4 linked regions of the Mus musculus genome follow. The protein of the gene in region 1 purifies or fractionates together with the protein of each later gene. This does not show direct contact. Links are inferred from orthologs where the notes say so. Each region holds a gene or a part of one and is shown on either strand. Other genes may lie near its edges.

Region 1 (3,756 bases):
GCTTTCCAATAAGTGGTTTCTACTCACTCATAGTTCACAGTTCAGCTCTGGCATCTACTATACTCAACACTAAGTAGCACTGTAGGTCTCCTAAGGCTTTTCTTCTTTTTGTATTAGATTGAAGGCAAGCCTTATACCTGCCATGAGTGTTCTCCCAACTGTGTCTGTGAAACAGACAGGCTTATTATGAGTGCTTTGTGCTGAGCCATCAGTGTGTGTCTTCCTGAGTCTGTCTCTACTTCAAGGTGTTACAAAGCTAAGTTCTGTGACCAACACACTTAGTTGACCTTGTTTAAATACTGATTTTTAAAAAATTATGCTGTATATCTATTTTTGGAACATTTTAATTTTATATCCTTTTAGATTTTAGTTATCAAAAATAGCCCATCAGAGGAAGAAACTTAGTATACATCTAAAAAGAAAACTGGAAGTGTTGCTTAATCAATCCTTTATGAAAGGAACTAGAATCATAAACTATAGGGAAGTACTATTTGTCTCCAAGTATAGCAGCTTGTACTTAAAGGCTATAAAAGAACCAAGAGTTAGTTTGTTATCTCACCTGGAATACAATATGGTCAGTAAACATGTGCTTCACACAGCGAACGAAATACTCTGTCTCTGCTTCTGTAAGCTGCACAGGCTCAGAAGACTTAAACAAGGGTCCCAGGTTCATAAACTCAGGAATGGCAGCTAACTGTTCTGTTAAGTACAAAGAGAAAGAAAATACAAGTACAGTATGAAGAAGACAGGAAGAGACTTTATTAAAATGCTTTAGTTACCACAGAGTAGAAAGAGCGGTTAATTTTAAGGTTTTACTAACAATTGAAAAGTCAATTTGGAGATCTCCAAACTTCTGTGAAATAATCCTTTAAGTTGCCAAGTTTATATACTAGATTCCTTTATGTAGGAGGGAAGAAGAAACTAAATTGCTAATTCTTTCTCTCTTAACCAACAAAATATGCACAAGAATAACAGTCCCAGGTAGTAAACTAGTAACTGGAAAGTCCATGAACAGCAGGTAGCTCCAGCCACTAAAGCCTATGACACAGGAAAATGTACAGAATTGAGAATTAATCAAAATGAATAAAAGCAGTGGATGTTATTAATTTATAATGCCTAGGGATTAAAAACTATTGTATTCATAAAAATATACCTTGGAAAATGTCTTGCCTGGAAGGAGCCAACTTCTCTGGCTTAGGAGTCACAAGTGTAATTTCTAGAAAGACAGAAATAAGCAGTCAAGTGAATTTTTTTCTACTTCTAACTGACCTTGTATACAGAAAGAAATGAAGGCAATAACTTCTAGTAGATACACAGTGGCAAACAGCTTCAAATATTGTGATATTTTGTATTAAATAATTAAAATTTTTTTTCAACTTAGGACATATTTCTTATTCTGGCTTTTGGATAAAACCAAAGAGGCTTAAAAATGAAAATCTTAAATTTAAAAAATGTCATCTATCTTAGTACTAAAAGATCTCAAGGAATAAAAAAAAAAGTATTAAGAGAAAAAAATATGCCTGGTGTGGCGGCACATTATGCCTTTAATGCCAGCACTTGGAAGATAAGGCAGGTAGCTCTCTATGAGTTTCAGCTCAGCTTTGTCTACATAGTGAGTTCTAAGACAGGGCTACATAGAGAGACCCTGCCTCAAAAACCAAACAAACAAGAATTTAAAAAAAAAAAATGAAAGAGAGAGAAACTATGCTATTTTTAAAAATCTTTTTCTATTTTTATTCTCCAGGTTAGACGCTATATTTACAAGTTTTTATGAAATGACTTACACACAGAAAAACTCATAGAGGTAAACAGTTCTGATACCTGACTTCTGCTCAAAGACAGGAGCCATAGCAAGAGGAATTGACTTCATATCAAAGGGTTTTTCTGAAGGCTCCAATGTATACTGGTGTAAGGCCTTTTCCATCCCTGGTATAGAGACTGTCAGACCTAGAGACAGGAAAATCTCAACATTATAATCTATTCTCAACAATCTGTAATGGTTAAGCTTTTTAAAGAAAGAGAAACATAACAAAAAACTATAGCCTAGTGGTTCTCAATCTGTGGGGATCAAAGTACTCTTTCACGAGGGCTGTCTAAGACCATCAGAAAACACACATATTTGTATTACAATTCATAACAGGAGCAAAATTACAGTTATGAAGTGGTGACAAAAATGTTATGGTAGGGGTTGCTACAATGTAAGGAACTGTATTAAAGGGTTGCAGCATTAGGAAGCTGTAGATAGCCTACTTAATCTAACAAAAGATTATTATAGACATCTGCCTCATAAACTTATAAGCTGCTTTATTTCTTTCAAGGAAACATGGGAACAAAGAATAAAAAATATCAACAGAATGCAAGCAATTCTCATAAAAAAATATCTTATCTATATGGGAACAAGAAAAGCAGAAGAAAATGAAAATGGGGACAGCCATTTAAGAGGGAGCTTAAGTTTTTTCTTTTTTCTTTTTTTTGGTTTTTCGAGACAGGGTTTCTCTATAGTCCTGGCTGTCCTGGAGCTCACTCTGTAGAGAGGGAGCTTAAGAAGCCATATTCTTTGGACCCTTTCATATTTTAAAAAAAAATCATCTTCTCTATTATTTTATAGGAACTGCTATTACCAAATTAGAAAATACCTTTATGAATATGGGTTTCTCTAGAAACAGAATTGCATTCAAAGATTTAAAACATTCAACTGCCTAAAGGAGTCAGCTAATACATGACTCAGCATAAAAATCATTGCTCAGCCAGGCGTGGTAGTGCACACCTTTAATCCCAGCACTCAGGAGGCAGGGGCAGGCGGATTTCTGAGTTCCAGGCCAGCCTGGTCTACAAAGTGAGTTCCAGGACAGCCAGGGCTACACAGAGAAACCCTGTCTCGAAAAACCAAAAAAACAAAAAACAAAAAAAAAAAACATTGCTCATTTGACAAACAAATGTGCTATGTGTCCATAATCCTGACTCTCACTGACCATTGAAGATATATGTAGCATTCAGGGCCATCTGTCTCTGCTGTAGCACATTCAGGTAGAAGGTAGCTCGGTCCCGTACCTCATCATCAGTATCCATCATACACCTGATCAGAAAAAATAGTATAGGCACACTTCTGTCTAAGTCTTTGTATACAGAGATGTCGAACAGTCTCACCACTTACCTGAAGAGTGCAGCTGAGGTCATCTGATATGACTTTTATGACAAGAGTTCAATAATAGCTAACATCCTAAAAATTCTTGACCTGTTACGAATTACTAAAGAAATGTTGCTATTTGAGAAGGCACTGAGATCACTAGGAAGAACACAATACCATGACATAATAATTTACAATCTAATCCTGAACCTGTGACTACATGAGCTCAACAAAGACAGCTTTTCTACAACTAAGAAATGGAAATGTTAAACTTTCTAAGGATACAAAAAGAAAACTAGCACTCAGAATCTAGACAGCCATTGTTCAAATGGCAATCTGTTTTACTTAAACTAGTTAGTCTCAGTCTTTGGCTAATGAGTTAATTGCTTTAGTTATAAAATGCAATCACAAAATATTTGCTAAAAGGACCACCAACTTTTTTCCTTTCCTCACCAACCAAGGAGTTATGGAGATCATAAAAGGCTACTATCTTTAGCTTTTCATACGAATCATTTCACATCTCTTTTAAGTTAGTACCTACTGTACAAGTTGAGGTACACAGGTTAACCTTACTCTCTCAGTATCATTTAAAAGAAATCTAAAACTCAAATTTTGCACATAAATAATTA
Region 2 (4,437 bases), on another chromosome or scaffold:
TTTTCATATAGCCGAAATTCAGTACATAAGTTTTAAAAGATTAAAAGAGAGAGAGAGAGTCTTGCAGAAACTGGTATTGAACTCGCAGATCTTCAAGGTTTGTGGTTACATGGGTACGCTATGGCCTGGCTAAGAGCTGATCATAGTCACTATTGCAGAACTTGATGTTGCTGACCTGCAGCAGCAAAAGATGGAGACACAAAATGAGCACGGCAGGTGGGGGCTTAACTCTCCAGCAGGTAAACTACAGGTGTTATATAGATTTAAGTATTATCAACAGGTTCTGTGGAATGGAGATGTTATTTTATTTTATATTTATTGATACTGTGTCAAATTAAAAATGCAAAGAGAATTAAGGAATCAAAAATAATAGAAGCCCAGCTATTCTCCACACTAGATATAGTTCACATTTTAAAAAGTTTCAACTAATTCTTGCAATTGGTTGCGCTACAGTATGCGATTATGTGATTATTCATGTCAATTATGTAAAAATCTCATTACTGAGAGAAAATTTGTTTTTACTGACAGAATAGTAAAAATGGATCTTTGAAAACTATCTGACTTTTTGTATATGAAAAACTGAGGCCTATAAATCTCCCAAGAGCCAGGCACTACCTAATGAAAACTCACCCTTACTTCTCTCAGGCTATACAATTCCTTTCTGGAAACCTAGGCTTTTCTCCAACTAGAGGTTTATAAGGAGCTAAGGGCAACTTCCATTTGTTTCATAGCATTATCTTTTTAAAAGGTGTGTGAAATCGATACACAATGTATTTGCACTTTTCCTGGCAATCATTTTTTTGAAATTCAACTAATTTATTAAAGAGCTATTTTGGCATAGCAGATAGAGCACTGGGCTTCCAGGGCGTATTCTCCCCTGAGCCCAGATCTTAACAACACTACTTACTATGCCATCTTGGCCAGTAAACCTGAGTTCTTTGAGTCTTACATTTCCAATCAATAAAACGGAGACGACTCCTACGTGATGTGGCAGTACCACCAACTGAAGGTACATAGCCAAACAAACGACCCGGTGGATGCTCTTTGAAGGGTAATCACCCGACTGCCTCCGGGAGCCTCCAGAACCAAGATCTCAGGGCTCCTCGGAGCCTCAAAGGCGGGAGCCGCGCCCACATCTTTTCCGCCTCGGTCGGTTTCACCCAAGACCCAGACACCGCTCTGGGCCCCGTTCCGGAGCCCGCTGGAGTACACAGTTTTAGAGCTTTCTTTTCTCTGCCAGAGGCTCACGCTGTTCGGATAGCGCTTCCGGGCCCCTCCACTGCTGCCGACGTTCAGCAGGAATCCAGCACTGCGCTCCATCTTCTTGCCTTTCTGAAACTGACCGAAGGTGAGCAGCCCAGACCGCCGCTAGTCACCGCCCAACTCTGGCCACAGCAATACACTCCATCAGCCAGCTCAGCAGCGGGAGACGCGGAAGTCCGCGTTACCTAGGAAACTGGGGCGGGACCATGCACGGACCGCCTTACGGAGGGTGTGCGCAGGCGCAGAGCCTGGCTCCGAGTACCGCGAGAGTCGCTTCCCGGAAGTTCCACGTCAGTGGGTTGGCCGGTCCACGGGTCGGTGGGTTCCTGAGTGTGTCGCCTTGAGCCTGTGACGGGCAGGGGCTCGCTCGGACAGTCGGAGCCATGGTAAGTCGGGCCTCAGGGGACAGAGAGTGGAGCCCACCGGCTGCGGCGGGTTCCCGGGGCTTCTTGGCTAGGAGCAGTAGCTAGAAGCGGTCTGCGCTGCTACTGCTGCGGCCTGACGGGGTCCTCCTGTCCCGTTGGCGTCCTGGGAGGAAGAAGGCCAGACCGGGAGGCTGCCGTGGTGACACAGTAGTGTAACTGGGTACCCGCGAAGGAGCGGCGCCCCCGACTCTCAGGGCGGTCAGGGCGCCTGTCAGTGCCCTTGCAGTCTGCACCGGGTCCGGTAGTGCAAGTAAATGCTAGAGTCAGGACTCGGATGCCAAAGGCAACTTTGACCAAGTCACTTTATTCTGTCATTGAGGGTGGTGCTTGCTAACCCACCTTCCAGGTTGCGTGAGGTGTTTGGTAGTGTGCAGGCACCACATTGCAAACTTAAGCAGAGGAAAACCAGAACTAAACAAAGTTAAATGTATATGGAGCCAGAGGTGAAATTTCAAATGCTATGGCAGCCCAGCTCGTCGTTTTCTAGTTGATGTTGATTGGGCCTTCTGTGCACACAGAGGATGACCTTTTTGGGGAAGGCCCTGAGATCTGCCTAACTTAGTTTTGAGACATATTTTTAATAGTCAATTAAAAATTGACTTTCCTTCTTCAATGTTTGTGAGTTCCATACCCACACATTGAACCAGCTTTCGGTGGAAGACATTTGAGGAAAACTGTTGTGTGAACATGTGCTGTCATAGTATACAACGACTCTTTACAACTTTGACCCCTGTATCGGTGTTCTAACTAATCTAGAGATGACCAGGAGTGATGGGTAAATTATAAGCACTTAAATAACTGAACGTGAGCGTTTTGATTTGGTGGAGGATACTGGAACCATGTGCAGAGATACTAAAAGATGGCTGTATTTTAAGTCTCGAGTAAAAAGTACAAAACATGACTTTATTTATTTGCTCACTCACCATAGGAGCATTTCACTGTCCTGCATTTTGCTAAACATTTACCAGCTGATTGTCACCGCAGCCTGTGGATAATTATGAGTAATGTTTATGGTGGTTACTATAAGCCGTGCTCTGCTCTAACTGAACTCTGATTTTAATTCTCAGAATGCTAAGAGAGATATTATTATTATCCCTGTTATACAAGTCAAACCTTGGGTGTTAATTAAACTTACTACCATGTGTCTGACATGAGCGCTGCAGCTGAGGCTTCTAGCAAGACTGTGGACCTCATCTATACTACCTGTTCCTCCCGTATTCCCAAATACATATGGTGTGGAGAGAAGGAGCTGGATAAGCACTGAGCCTGCCCTTCAGAAATAAACCACTCCACAAGCAAGAAGAGCTGTGTACGTGGATGGGGAAGAATCCTCTGGCTAGGCTAATCAGAAAGGGCATAATGGTGGCAGTGGCATTTAAACTAAGTCTGGAGTTGAGGATGCAGTGTGAGTAGTTTAATCGTCTAAGACCTGGTATGATATCTTTAAAACACTCATGACTGGGATGGTAAGTATGACTCCAGGAGCGCTTGCCTGCAGTAATGCACATTTTAAAATGGGTGTCTTTACTTTGGGGTATGTGCAGCTATATACTAGGTAGTTCAGAGATCCCTAGCCATTTTGAAAAATCAATTTGAAAACCTTGTTAGGATTATCCTAACAATCCTATTTTACACACACATACACACACCACACACTTACACATACTTACTTGGATGTGGGGGCTTATGTTATGTTGAAGATCCCACTATGGCTCCTGGCATAACATACTTCCTGCTTGTTGTTGACTCAAAGATGAGAGGGAGAAGTTAAATTTTGTGACAGTAATTAGTGGGGCAAACATTTAGAAATCATCGAAAAGGTTTGCTCCCCTGAGATTAGCTTGTGATTTAAAGATGGTGGCTTGAGTATGTTAGAGATGGGCAGGGCTGCATGACAGTGGAGGTGTTCTCACGAGAACTGACTAGTTAGAGCACGGGCCTAAAGCTGGTTTTGGAAGTGAAGAGCAAACAATGAAGAACAGTTAGAAGTACATGTGTCAAACAGACACACAGAGAGAGGAGACTGAGAGCCTTGTTAGGTGTCTGTTTCAGGGCATTCCCTCTGCCGGGTCCTCAGTTTTGTGCTGAGAAGCAAACCTTCGCTTTCTGTTGAATTCATGACTGTTAGGGAACAGCACAGAGGCACCAGCACAGTAACTCATCCTGGCAGTAAGGTCCAGGTTGTGCGCTAGGCTTATGGAAGGGGAAGTGCATTTTAAACGAGCCTACAAGAAAGAGTGGAAGAAGAGAGAGTGTTCCAGGACTTCACTGTGGAATGAACTAACTTTTCTTCTGGAATGGCTTCCCTGGGAGAGACGGAACACAGTCGCTTGCTCAAATCATTTTCTGTTCTGTGGTTCAGAACTGTTCATAGCTGTGGTCTGACTGGAGAAGGACAGTTTTAAACTGTTACTATTTTATGGCTTAAATTTGTTTAAAATTGTTCTGTTTTTCAGTATGTATCTGTAAATTCAAAAGGCCTTTATGAACAGGAGTAAACCCTTTTTGATCAGACATTACTTGCCTACAGTTTAAATGCCCTCCCCATCTGATTATTTTTAAAGAGCTCATTTAATGTTATGGTCTAGGATTACTACAGCTTCATAAATGATATACCTTCACAACATTGTCTGCTACAACACTAATGCATGGACATGAAATTGTGATTTAGCTGATGTTCTAAATTTATTTACCTATCTATAAACTGGGGGTTTCAGAAGTGTCTTCTGAAGTTCCTTGGAGGTCTCTT
Region 3 (4,437 bases), on another chromosome or scaffold:
ACGGTCACAGGTGCATATCAGTCCTTCCTACCTAAAGGCTTTATATTCCCAACCCACAGCCCACACCACCAGCACACTGCCCAAGACAGCAGTGTCACATGCATCTGCAGCAGGCAGCAAGGTGGCCACGTTTGTTTTCCCTGCTGTAGCTGGGGACATGTGTCAGCAGGGTGGGGGCAGAGGGTGTCTGCTATGTCCCACCTTCCCCCACCTGGCAGATCTCTTGCTGACACCCACAGCTACTTCTGGAGCCACCTGTCCCTTGCTGTCCTTTCTCAACCAGGCTGCTTTCAGAGTTGCAGCAATCCCCTTCCTCAGCCTTCCAAGTACTGTGTCACCATGCCCTGTTGGGAAGATCACAGCCACACAGAACCACACAGAGTGTGCGACTGACCTAGGCACAGGGTGGTGATGCAGTCTGTGGTTAGGAGGCTGTTTACCAGGCTCCTCCTGGGGCACCTCAGCCCTTGCCCTGGGCCAGAGTGAAGAAGACCTTTTCAGAGGTCACTAGGAATATATCTTTTTGAGCAGCATTTTGTTGTGTAGCCCAGGGTACTTTAAACTTGAGCTCCTTCTGCCTCAGGCTCCCAAGTGCTGGGAAGACGGGCCTGTGCCACCTTGCACAGCCTGGGGCTGTTTTTAGAACACAGAAGTGAAAATACACCTTGTGTTTTCTGTAGGTAATGACGAAGCCAGGCATGGTAGCACAAGGGAGGTGGAGGCAGGAAAGGAAGGTCATCCTGGACTCCATAGTGAATCCAAGGCCAGTCTAAGCTATGTGAGATGGCTGCCAAGCCTGATGACCTGAGTTCAATTCTCAGGACCACACATACTTAACCCTCCCCGTGATGAGGCATCCTGACAGTCCCCTGGCCTGGCTGTCCACGGCTTTCCTGCATAATACTCTGTGCCCTTCCCCAGGCTGTCCACACTCACCTGTGCGAGGTATGCTCTGTATAGGAAGACATCCCTCTCTACTTCCCGCTCAGGACTGGAGAGCTGTGAGAAGATATGCAGAGTGAGGCTGGGCAGCCTCCCTGCTAGGCTCATAGCTCTGGGTCTCAGCTGGAATCCAGGAGACCCAGAAGCCCCAAAGCCTCCAGAGGGCACCCAGTGTGCAAAGCCCTGATCTTCTCTCAACTGATGCGAGCCCAAGGAGGCTCCGCCGTCATCCCAGTATCACAGCGTCATCCCAGTATCACAGCGTGCAGTGCCACTACGGCTACAGCAGCAGCACAGCTGCATGCCCCAGCCCTGTTGGGCGCTTTACAAGCTCAATGAATTTGGCTTTGATTTTATTATTTTGGGAGTTTTGGAGACAGGGTTTCATGCAGACTAGGCTGGCCTCAAACTCACTACATAGCTGAGAACAAGTTGGATCTTCTTGCCTCTTGTCCAGAACCTTAACAAAACAGCTTTTTAGCCTGGTAAGGACAAGCCTCCACATAGTTTACCTGAGCCATGCCCCAGCCCATCACAGCCCTGACTCTGTTTCACATTCAAAACAGGCAAGTCTAAGACCACCACTTTCTACACCCATTCTGCCATTTCCTGGCTCTCTGTGCTGCCTCTGTTGCCAAGGCTACTATACCTAGAAAGCCTGTAGTTCCACCAACTCCATCCCTTACTGAGCCCAGCAGGAATGCTGTTTTCCACGAGTGCACAGTGAAGAATGAGTGACAGGTGATTCTGTCAACAACACACACAGGCTGTTGCAAACACGGGTCACATCTTTAATGAACTAAAGACAAGCTGAGCATTGTGGCACAGGCCTGTCATCCTGCATCTGGGAGGCTGAGACAAGACTGCTACATCTAGGGACAGCCTGGGCTATATGAAGCTGCTTAAAACATAAAACAAAACCAGGGCAAGGATTTAGCCTGTGGAGCATTTGCATCGAAGCTGTGCTTTGGCTGTGCACACTATGATCCCAGCACTCCAGAGAGCAGGCATGGCCATCAGGAATTCAGTGCTCTTCAGCAACATGGGGAGTCTGAGGCCAGCCTGGGCTAAAGGAGACTGTCTTCTTTTATAACCAAACTTCCCTTTTGGGGGGAGTGGGGGAGGCGAGGAGGGTACAGTTCAAGACGGGGTTTTTCTGTAGCACCCTGGCTGTCCTGGAAGTCGCTATGTAGATCAGAGTGGTCCAAAACTCAGAGACTTGACTGCCTCTGCCTCTGGGTGCTGGGATTTAAGGCACACCAAGCTACCTCCGGTTTAGGACTATTATTAAGACAGATTACAGTATTACCCGAACTGACCTAGAACTGCTTATGAAGATCAGGCTGACCCTAAACTTACAGAGATCAGCCTCCCAAGTGCTGGAATAGAAGGCGTGCACCATGATGCCTGACTTTAGACACTTAAAAAAGGGGGGCGGGGGGGGTTTAAAAACGAAACAGTAAGAGGTTTTATGATGGAGCTAGTGGCGCACACCTGTCACCTCACCATTACCCTGACTTCAGGTCAGCCTGGGCTATAAAGTGAGCCCCTGTCAATCAACCACCAGAAAGTTGGAAGCTTGGCACAGGGGTGCACACCTGTCATCCTAGCACTGGAGGGGTGAAGACTGGAGGCGCAGGACCTCAAGGTTAGCCTCGGTTACAGAGTAAATTGAAAACCATCCCTAATTATAAGAGAAACCGAGTCCTCGGACCAGAACCTCAGAGCGCGCCGGAAGCTGCTCCGCACGCTGCCCACCTTCACGCGCTGAGCCTCGTTGATGCACTGCTGGTAGCTGCCGATGTAGAAAGCGTTCTTCACGTCGAACAGCTCATCTACCTCTCCGGAGCCGCCAGAGACCGCGCCAGGAACCGGAGGAGCCATGTCACCGCACCTCTAACCAACCTTCTTCTGGGACACGTAGGCCGGAAGCAGGTCCCCGTCGTCAGGAACTCTGGGAAACGTAGTTCTATGGGACAAATCAGAGGCGATGAAAAAGAAACCTTGCAAAGCCTCCCGAGAACTATAGTTCGGATTCCGTCAACAAACACAAGGCCTTCAGAACCAAAACACTGAAAAGCGGTCAAAGCTCGGATTGGTTGAAGGATCTGGAGAGGGTCTCTCCGTGACGTCACATTCCTCCGCCAACGTCCTCTCACAACTTTTCCAGGCCGGACTGCGCCGGGGTGGACGTGACGTAGCATTCACGCGCCGGAAGCACTCATTTCTAGGTTCTCTGCCCGGGTCTGGAGCATGGCGGGGTTCGCTGAGATCGGGTTGTCGTCGTGGCTGGTAGAACAGTGTCGACAGCTGGGGTTGAAGCAGCCCACGCCGGTGCAGCTCGGGTGCATTCCGGCCATCCTGGAAGGTGAGTTCTCGCCTTTCTTTTAATGCCTTTCTTTGCCCGCTCTTCCTTAGCCCCACTTGGGTTCCAGGAATCAGGACAGCATTGAGTGTTTCGGGGACCCTGACCCGCAGCATTGACATTTACGCTGCGACCGACTCGTGTTCATTATCACACAGGTGATGGGTGGCACCTCTTAAGTTTTCGTAGCACCCGAGCATAGGGAGAGATCGGTGAATGACTAAAACATGGCACTGAAAAAAAAAAAGGGTAGAGCTGGCTTTGACGTAGAAGCCGTCAAACTCCAGGTAAAAACCAATGCTCCGTGTTTGTGTCAGTGCTCTTCGACCCAGTTCACTTTTGCCATTAAAGAGGCGTCCTTGGAGCCGGACGTGGTGACTCTCAGTCATCTCAATACTGAGCAGGTGGAAGCAAGAGGATCAGGAGTTCAAGGTGATCCTCAGTTTGGTAGCAAGTTGCAGACCAGCCTGGGCTACCTGAAAATTTGTTTCAAACAAGCAATTATAATAATTGTTGGAAATTAGATAATAACACGTTCAAGGGACTAGTGGAAATGAAACAGTTTTAAATATTCAATTCTGGAGAAAGGGGTACCAGCATAGAGAAAAGGCAAAAATAGCTGGTGTGGTGATTTCAAGCAAGTTTTTGAAGCCTTTCCCCAAATATGGGAAATTCCTGACCTTTTCTTCCATAGACCTGCAGGGCTTTTCCCCTCCCCAAATTCCCCATCCCATTGGTCCATTGGGGCCCCAAGTCTTCTCTAATGAATAGTTTGGGTCTTGAGGCTGCCTCTCTTCTATTCTCTTTTCTTTCTTTTTTTTTTCCCTTGTTTTTTTGTTTTTTTGAGACAGGGTTTCTCTGTATAGCCCTGGCTGTCCTGGAACTCACTCTGTAGAACAGGCTGGCCTTGAACTCAGAAATCTGCCTGCCTCTGCCTCCCAAGTGCTGAAATTAAAGGTGTGCGCCACTACTGCCTGGCTGCCCTTCCTTTCTAATCATGGGCTCAGTCACATAGCAGAGCACCTGTAACTCTCCGAGTCTTAGACTAACTAGGGGAGAGAAGGACCCAGTGCCTCCAACTCATCTGTAGCTCTAGTGAACTGTAAGCTCACCTCGTACTAAAAGCAGAC
Region 4 (3,756 bases), on another chromosome or scaffold:
TGAACTCACAGAGATTCACTGCTTCTTCTTTCCAAGTGCTGAGATAAAAGCATGCATGACCTCACCTGGCTCTGAGTACCATTTTTAACAAGGACTTTCCAACCACCTCCCTCTGATTTCAGCTCTTAATTAGTTAAAGATCTCTCTCTTTACTAATCCATCAGGCAGCTTTTTTTTTTTTTTTTTTTTTTTTTTTCCAGTTGTTTCCATCAGGCAGTTTGGTAAAGGCGTAGGGGTAGGGGCTGAAGAGATAGGGCAGCTGTTAAGAGCATTGGCTGCTCTTCCAGAGGACCTGGGAGATTCCCAACACCTACACAGGAGCTCATGACTGTCTTTATCACTCCAATCCCAGGGATTCTGGTGCCTTCTTCTGGCCTCTTTGGGTACTGCACACATGTGGTATACACACATAGTTTTAGACAGACATGTATATACATTAAATAAAATAATTATTAAAAAGACTTAGAGGCAGAGAGGGATGGCAATGCACTCCTATTATCCCAGCACTTGGGAAGTATAGGCAGGATAATCATCAGGAATTTAGGATTGACCTCAGTTACGTAGGTGGTTCAAGACCAACGGGGGCTATGTGACAGACTACCTCAAAAAAGCAAAACACAGGTGGAACTATTGCTTAGTGTTAAGAATGCTTGCTGTTCTTTCTGAGTACTTGAGTTTGGTTGCTAGCACCCATGCTGGGCAGCTCATACTCTTTGTAACTCCTGCTCCAAGGAGATCCAGTGCTCTCTTCTGGAATCCATGGGCACTCCTGTGCGCATGCATGTAAAACACACAGAGAGAAAAGTAAATCTTTAATAAAAAGTAAATACACAGAGTGCTATAATCGTCTATAGAGGACTATACCAGCAAAGTCCTGTTTCAGTTTCTGCCTTAAAGAAGCCTCCACTTGGGGGCTGATGAGATGGCTCAGTGGTTAAGAGCGCTGACTGCTCTTCCAAAGGTCCTGAGTTCAAATCCCAGCAACCACATGTTGGCTCACAACCATTCGTAACGAAATCTGATGCTCTCTTCTGGAGTGTCTGAAGACACACTACAGTGTACTTACATATAATAAATTAATTAATTAAAAAAAAAAGAAGGGCTGGTGAGATGGCTCAGTGGGTTAGAGCACCCGACTGCTCTTCCGAAGGTGCAGAGTTCAAATCCCAGCAACCACATGGTGGCTCACAACCATCCGTAACAAGATCTGACCCCCTCTTCTGGAGTGTCTGAAGACAGCTACAGTGTACTTACATATAATAAATAAATAAATAAATAAATAAATAAATAAATCTTTAAAAAAAAAAAAAAAAGAAGCCTCTACTTGTGGAATTGCTTAGTAGAACTAACTTCTTTGAGAAGCCAGAGTCCTTCTGCTGTTGTGTTTGCCCTTCACATTATGTCTCTGGCCGTTTGTGAAAGCTTATGCTTTTTGGTGAGGAATAAAAAGTGGAAGGTCTGTTTTGGGGTAGCAGTTTTAGGGCCTTGAACCTTCCTTCTCCTTTCTCAACAGCTGATGCTTATGGCTGTTCTGAACTGCCTCTTCGATTCCCTGAGCCAGATGCTGAGGTGAGCAGCCATTCTCATTTTAAATTTGGAAGGGAAATACCTATTCCTTAGAGCCCGGGATTAGTGGGAAATCTGAGCCACACTGGGGAATTGGTTCAGTGTAAGACATAGACTTGCTGTTTGTGGATAACTAATTTGAGTGGAGGGTTAGGTGGAGAGAATGGTCTTCATGTGGAATCATTCTCTTACTGAGGGAGGAAAGAGAGTCCTTCAGGAAGAATACTCTATTCTCTGTTTCCTTTGGCTGCCCTGATGATTAGAACCAAGGGTAGGCAACTGTTCTACCACTGAGCTTCTCACCTAAACTTTTTCTTTATTTTATTTTTCTTTTAATTTAAGACAAGGTCCTAGGGGGAAAAAAAAAAGAAAGAAAGAAAGAAAGAAGGAAAGAAAGAAAGAAAGAAAGAAAGAAAGAAAGAAAGAAAGAAAGAAAGAAAGATTGATTCTGAAAACTAATGTAAAGGAACCGTAATCCTGTCACCAGAACACATCATGCTTAAGATTCAGTTGGGAGCAGAGCATATCAGATGCTCTAAAATAATCGAGAGGTTGATTATCTATAGCTTTTCAAGCCTTTTTGTGTCTTGACATCAACTTTTAACCTTAGAGTCTTTGATACACAAATAAAAATTTACCCAGGCTGTCTTAAGATTCTATTTGTAACCCAGGCAACCCTTGAACATGTAACCCCTGCTTCAGCTTCAAGAGTAGTTTGGAGTACAGACTCGGACCTCGTCTGTATGCCTGTACCTACTCTTGTCATGTCCAGTAACTCTGATGGTGTTCTGAGCCCCAGATGCTTTCCTAGGCCTGTCCGCTGGGTTTGAAGGAGGGGAAGGCCAGGGAAGTGACCCAGTGACCCAGGTGAAACTTCCCTATCTTGGAAAAGGAGGAAACACCACAATTTTCCATTGCTAGCCCTTATAGTCTTTCCCTGGACACAGAATGGGCCCACTGTGCTCTTTGCCCTCTACCTCCCCAGTAGCCCTCTGTTCCCACGCACACAAGCAAGGGAAGATATAAGATACTTTCTCTGAAAACATTCAAGGCTCTGAACTTCAGCCACAGCAGCTCCTAAAAGTGAACACATTTTAGAAATCCATGTGGAGTAGAACAGCGGGTGCTCTCAGCCCACAACCCAGCAGCCAGAGGCTCAGGTTTCCTCAGGAAGGGGGTGATTTATTTCCCAGCCAGGTGAATGAATAGACTTCATTTCGGGTAATCTAGAGAAAGAGTCATACTGACGGATGTGACAGGCCACATGCACCAACCACCGGATCTGAGGCTGGTAGATGCAGCCCCTGGCTGTTCCCAGCCCCTCCTTGGCCTTTGTTTTAGGGTTTGAACAGACCTGGGGGGAGGGGAGAGGCAGAGAGACTTCAGAAGGAGCTTGAACGCAGAGGGTTTTGCATTCCCACTCCTCCCACCTTTCCACCATCACCAACTCCAGATTATGAGCTATGAATTTTTTTCCTATCTTCTATGTCTTTTTACAAGCACCTCCACCAGCAGCAGCAGCAGCAGCATGCTGGATAAGTAGCCTAGGAGTCAGAAGTTAGCTGTTTGGGATCCCCCCCAGAATGTCAAGACTCTGGTCACTGTTCAGTGGTATAAAAGGCTCTTTTTCACCTCACTCCCTTCTACATGTGGGTGGTGGAGGCAGTTACTGGTTAGGGTTAGGATCCCTTATTTAGACAGTATCCCAGAATTCCTTTCTCACACAACCTAATTTTTCCTCTTCTTTTGGGGATTCAGGAAAAATGTAGAAAAGCGAGCTTTGCTGGAGAACATGGAGGGCCTCTTCTTGGCTGTGGATGAAATTGTAGATGGAGGGTGAGTTCTCTGCCCTGCCCGTATTTGGAGTGGGGAGGGGAGGTGGCTGCCCCTCAGCTAGTGAACCTGACTTACAGCAAATTGGTCCCTTGGAGCAAACAACCGTCTTCTTTGTGTTTGTAGGGTGATCCTAGAGAGCGACCCCCAGCAAGTGGTGCACCGGGTGGCTTTGAGGGTAAGCAGGGATGTGTATCCCATCTCTCCACGGATCCTCCCAAGCCAGGCTTGCTGGGTGGGTGTAGCTGAGGGTCAGCTTATACATAGGTCCCACCTTCTCCTGTCCTCTTCACACGAATGTATCATTCTCCCGGCTTCTACATCTCCATGTCCCAGAGAAGCAGAGGAGCTCACTTA

The links.
Region 2: the proteins of Copg2 (region 1) and Copb2 fractionate together in Homo sapiens (co-fractionation; 4 studies listed by BioGRID and IntAct, with this or other methods). This does not show direct contact. The link is inferred for Mus musculus from reciprocal best matches to the Homo sapiens genes COPG2 and COPB2.
Region 3: the proteins of Copg2 (region 1) and Cope purify together in Homo sapiens (affinity purification with mass spectrometry; 5 studies listed by BioGRID and IntAct, with this or other methods). This does not show direct contact. The link is inferred for Mus musculus from reciprocal best matches to the Homo sapiens genes COPG2 and COPE.
Region 4: the proteins of Copg2 (region 1) and Copz1 fractionate together in Homo sapiens (co-fractionation; 5 studies listed by BioGRID and IntAct, with this or other methods). This does not show direct contact. The link is inferred for Mus musculus from reciprocal best matches to the Homo sapiens genes COPG2 and COPZ1.

What each region holds. Positions count from the first base shown.
Region 1 is NC_000072.6:30,809,772-30,813,527, forward strand, and holds part of Copg2 (coatomer subunit gamma-2), read right to left. Parts: intron 3,077-3,756; coding exon 2,973-3,076; intron 1,948-2,972; coding exon 1,822-1,947; intron 1,217-1,821; coding exon 1,154-1,216; intron 700-1,153; coding exon 560-699; intron 1-559. UniProt on the Homo sapiens protein: The coatomer is a cytosolic protein complex that binds to dilysine motifs and reversibly associates with Golgi non-clathrin-coated vesicles, which further mediate biosynthetic protein transport from the ER, via the Golgi up to the trans Golgi network.
Region 2 is NC_000075.6:98,562,175-98,566,611, forward strand, and holds the start of Copb2 (coatomer subunit beta'), read left to right. Parts: upstream 1-1,556; 5' UTR 1,557-1,646; coding exon 1,647-1,649; intron 1,650-4,437. UniProt on the Homo sapiens protein: The coatomer is a cytosolic protein complex that binds to dilysine motifs and reversibly associates with Golgi non-clathrin-coated vesicles, which further mediate biosynthetic protein transport from the ER, via the Golgi up to the trans Golgi network.
Region 3 is NC_000074.6:70,301,196-70,305,632, reverse strand, and holds the start of Cope (coatomer subunit epsilon), read right to left. Parts: upstream 2,867-4,437; 5' UTR 2,827-2,866; coding exon 2,701-2,826; intron 1,000-2,700; coding exon 937-999; intron 1-936. Other genes in the region: probable ATP-dependent RNA helicase DDX49, read left to right, coding at 3,196-3,310. UniProt on the Homo sapiens protein: The coatomer is a cytosolic protein complex that binds to dilysine motifs and reversibly associates with Golgi non-clathrin-coated vesicles, which further mediate biosynthetic protein transport from the ER, via the Golgi up to the trans Golgi network.
Region 4 is NC_000081.6:103,293,209-103,296,964, forward strand, and holds part of Copz1 (coatomer subunit zeta-1), read left to right. Parts: intron 1-1,513; coding exon 1,514-1,569; intron 1,570-3,324; coding exon 3,325-3,402; intron 3,403-3,525; coding exon 3,526-3,577; intron 3,578-3,756. UniProt on the Homo sapiens protein: The coatomer is a cytosolic protein complex that binds to dilysine motifs and reversibly associates with Golgi non-clathrin-coated vesicles, which further mediate biosynthetic protein transport from the ER, via the Golgi up to the trans Golgi network.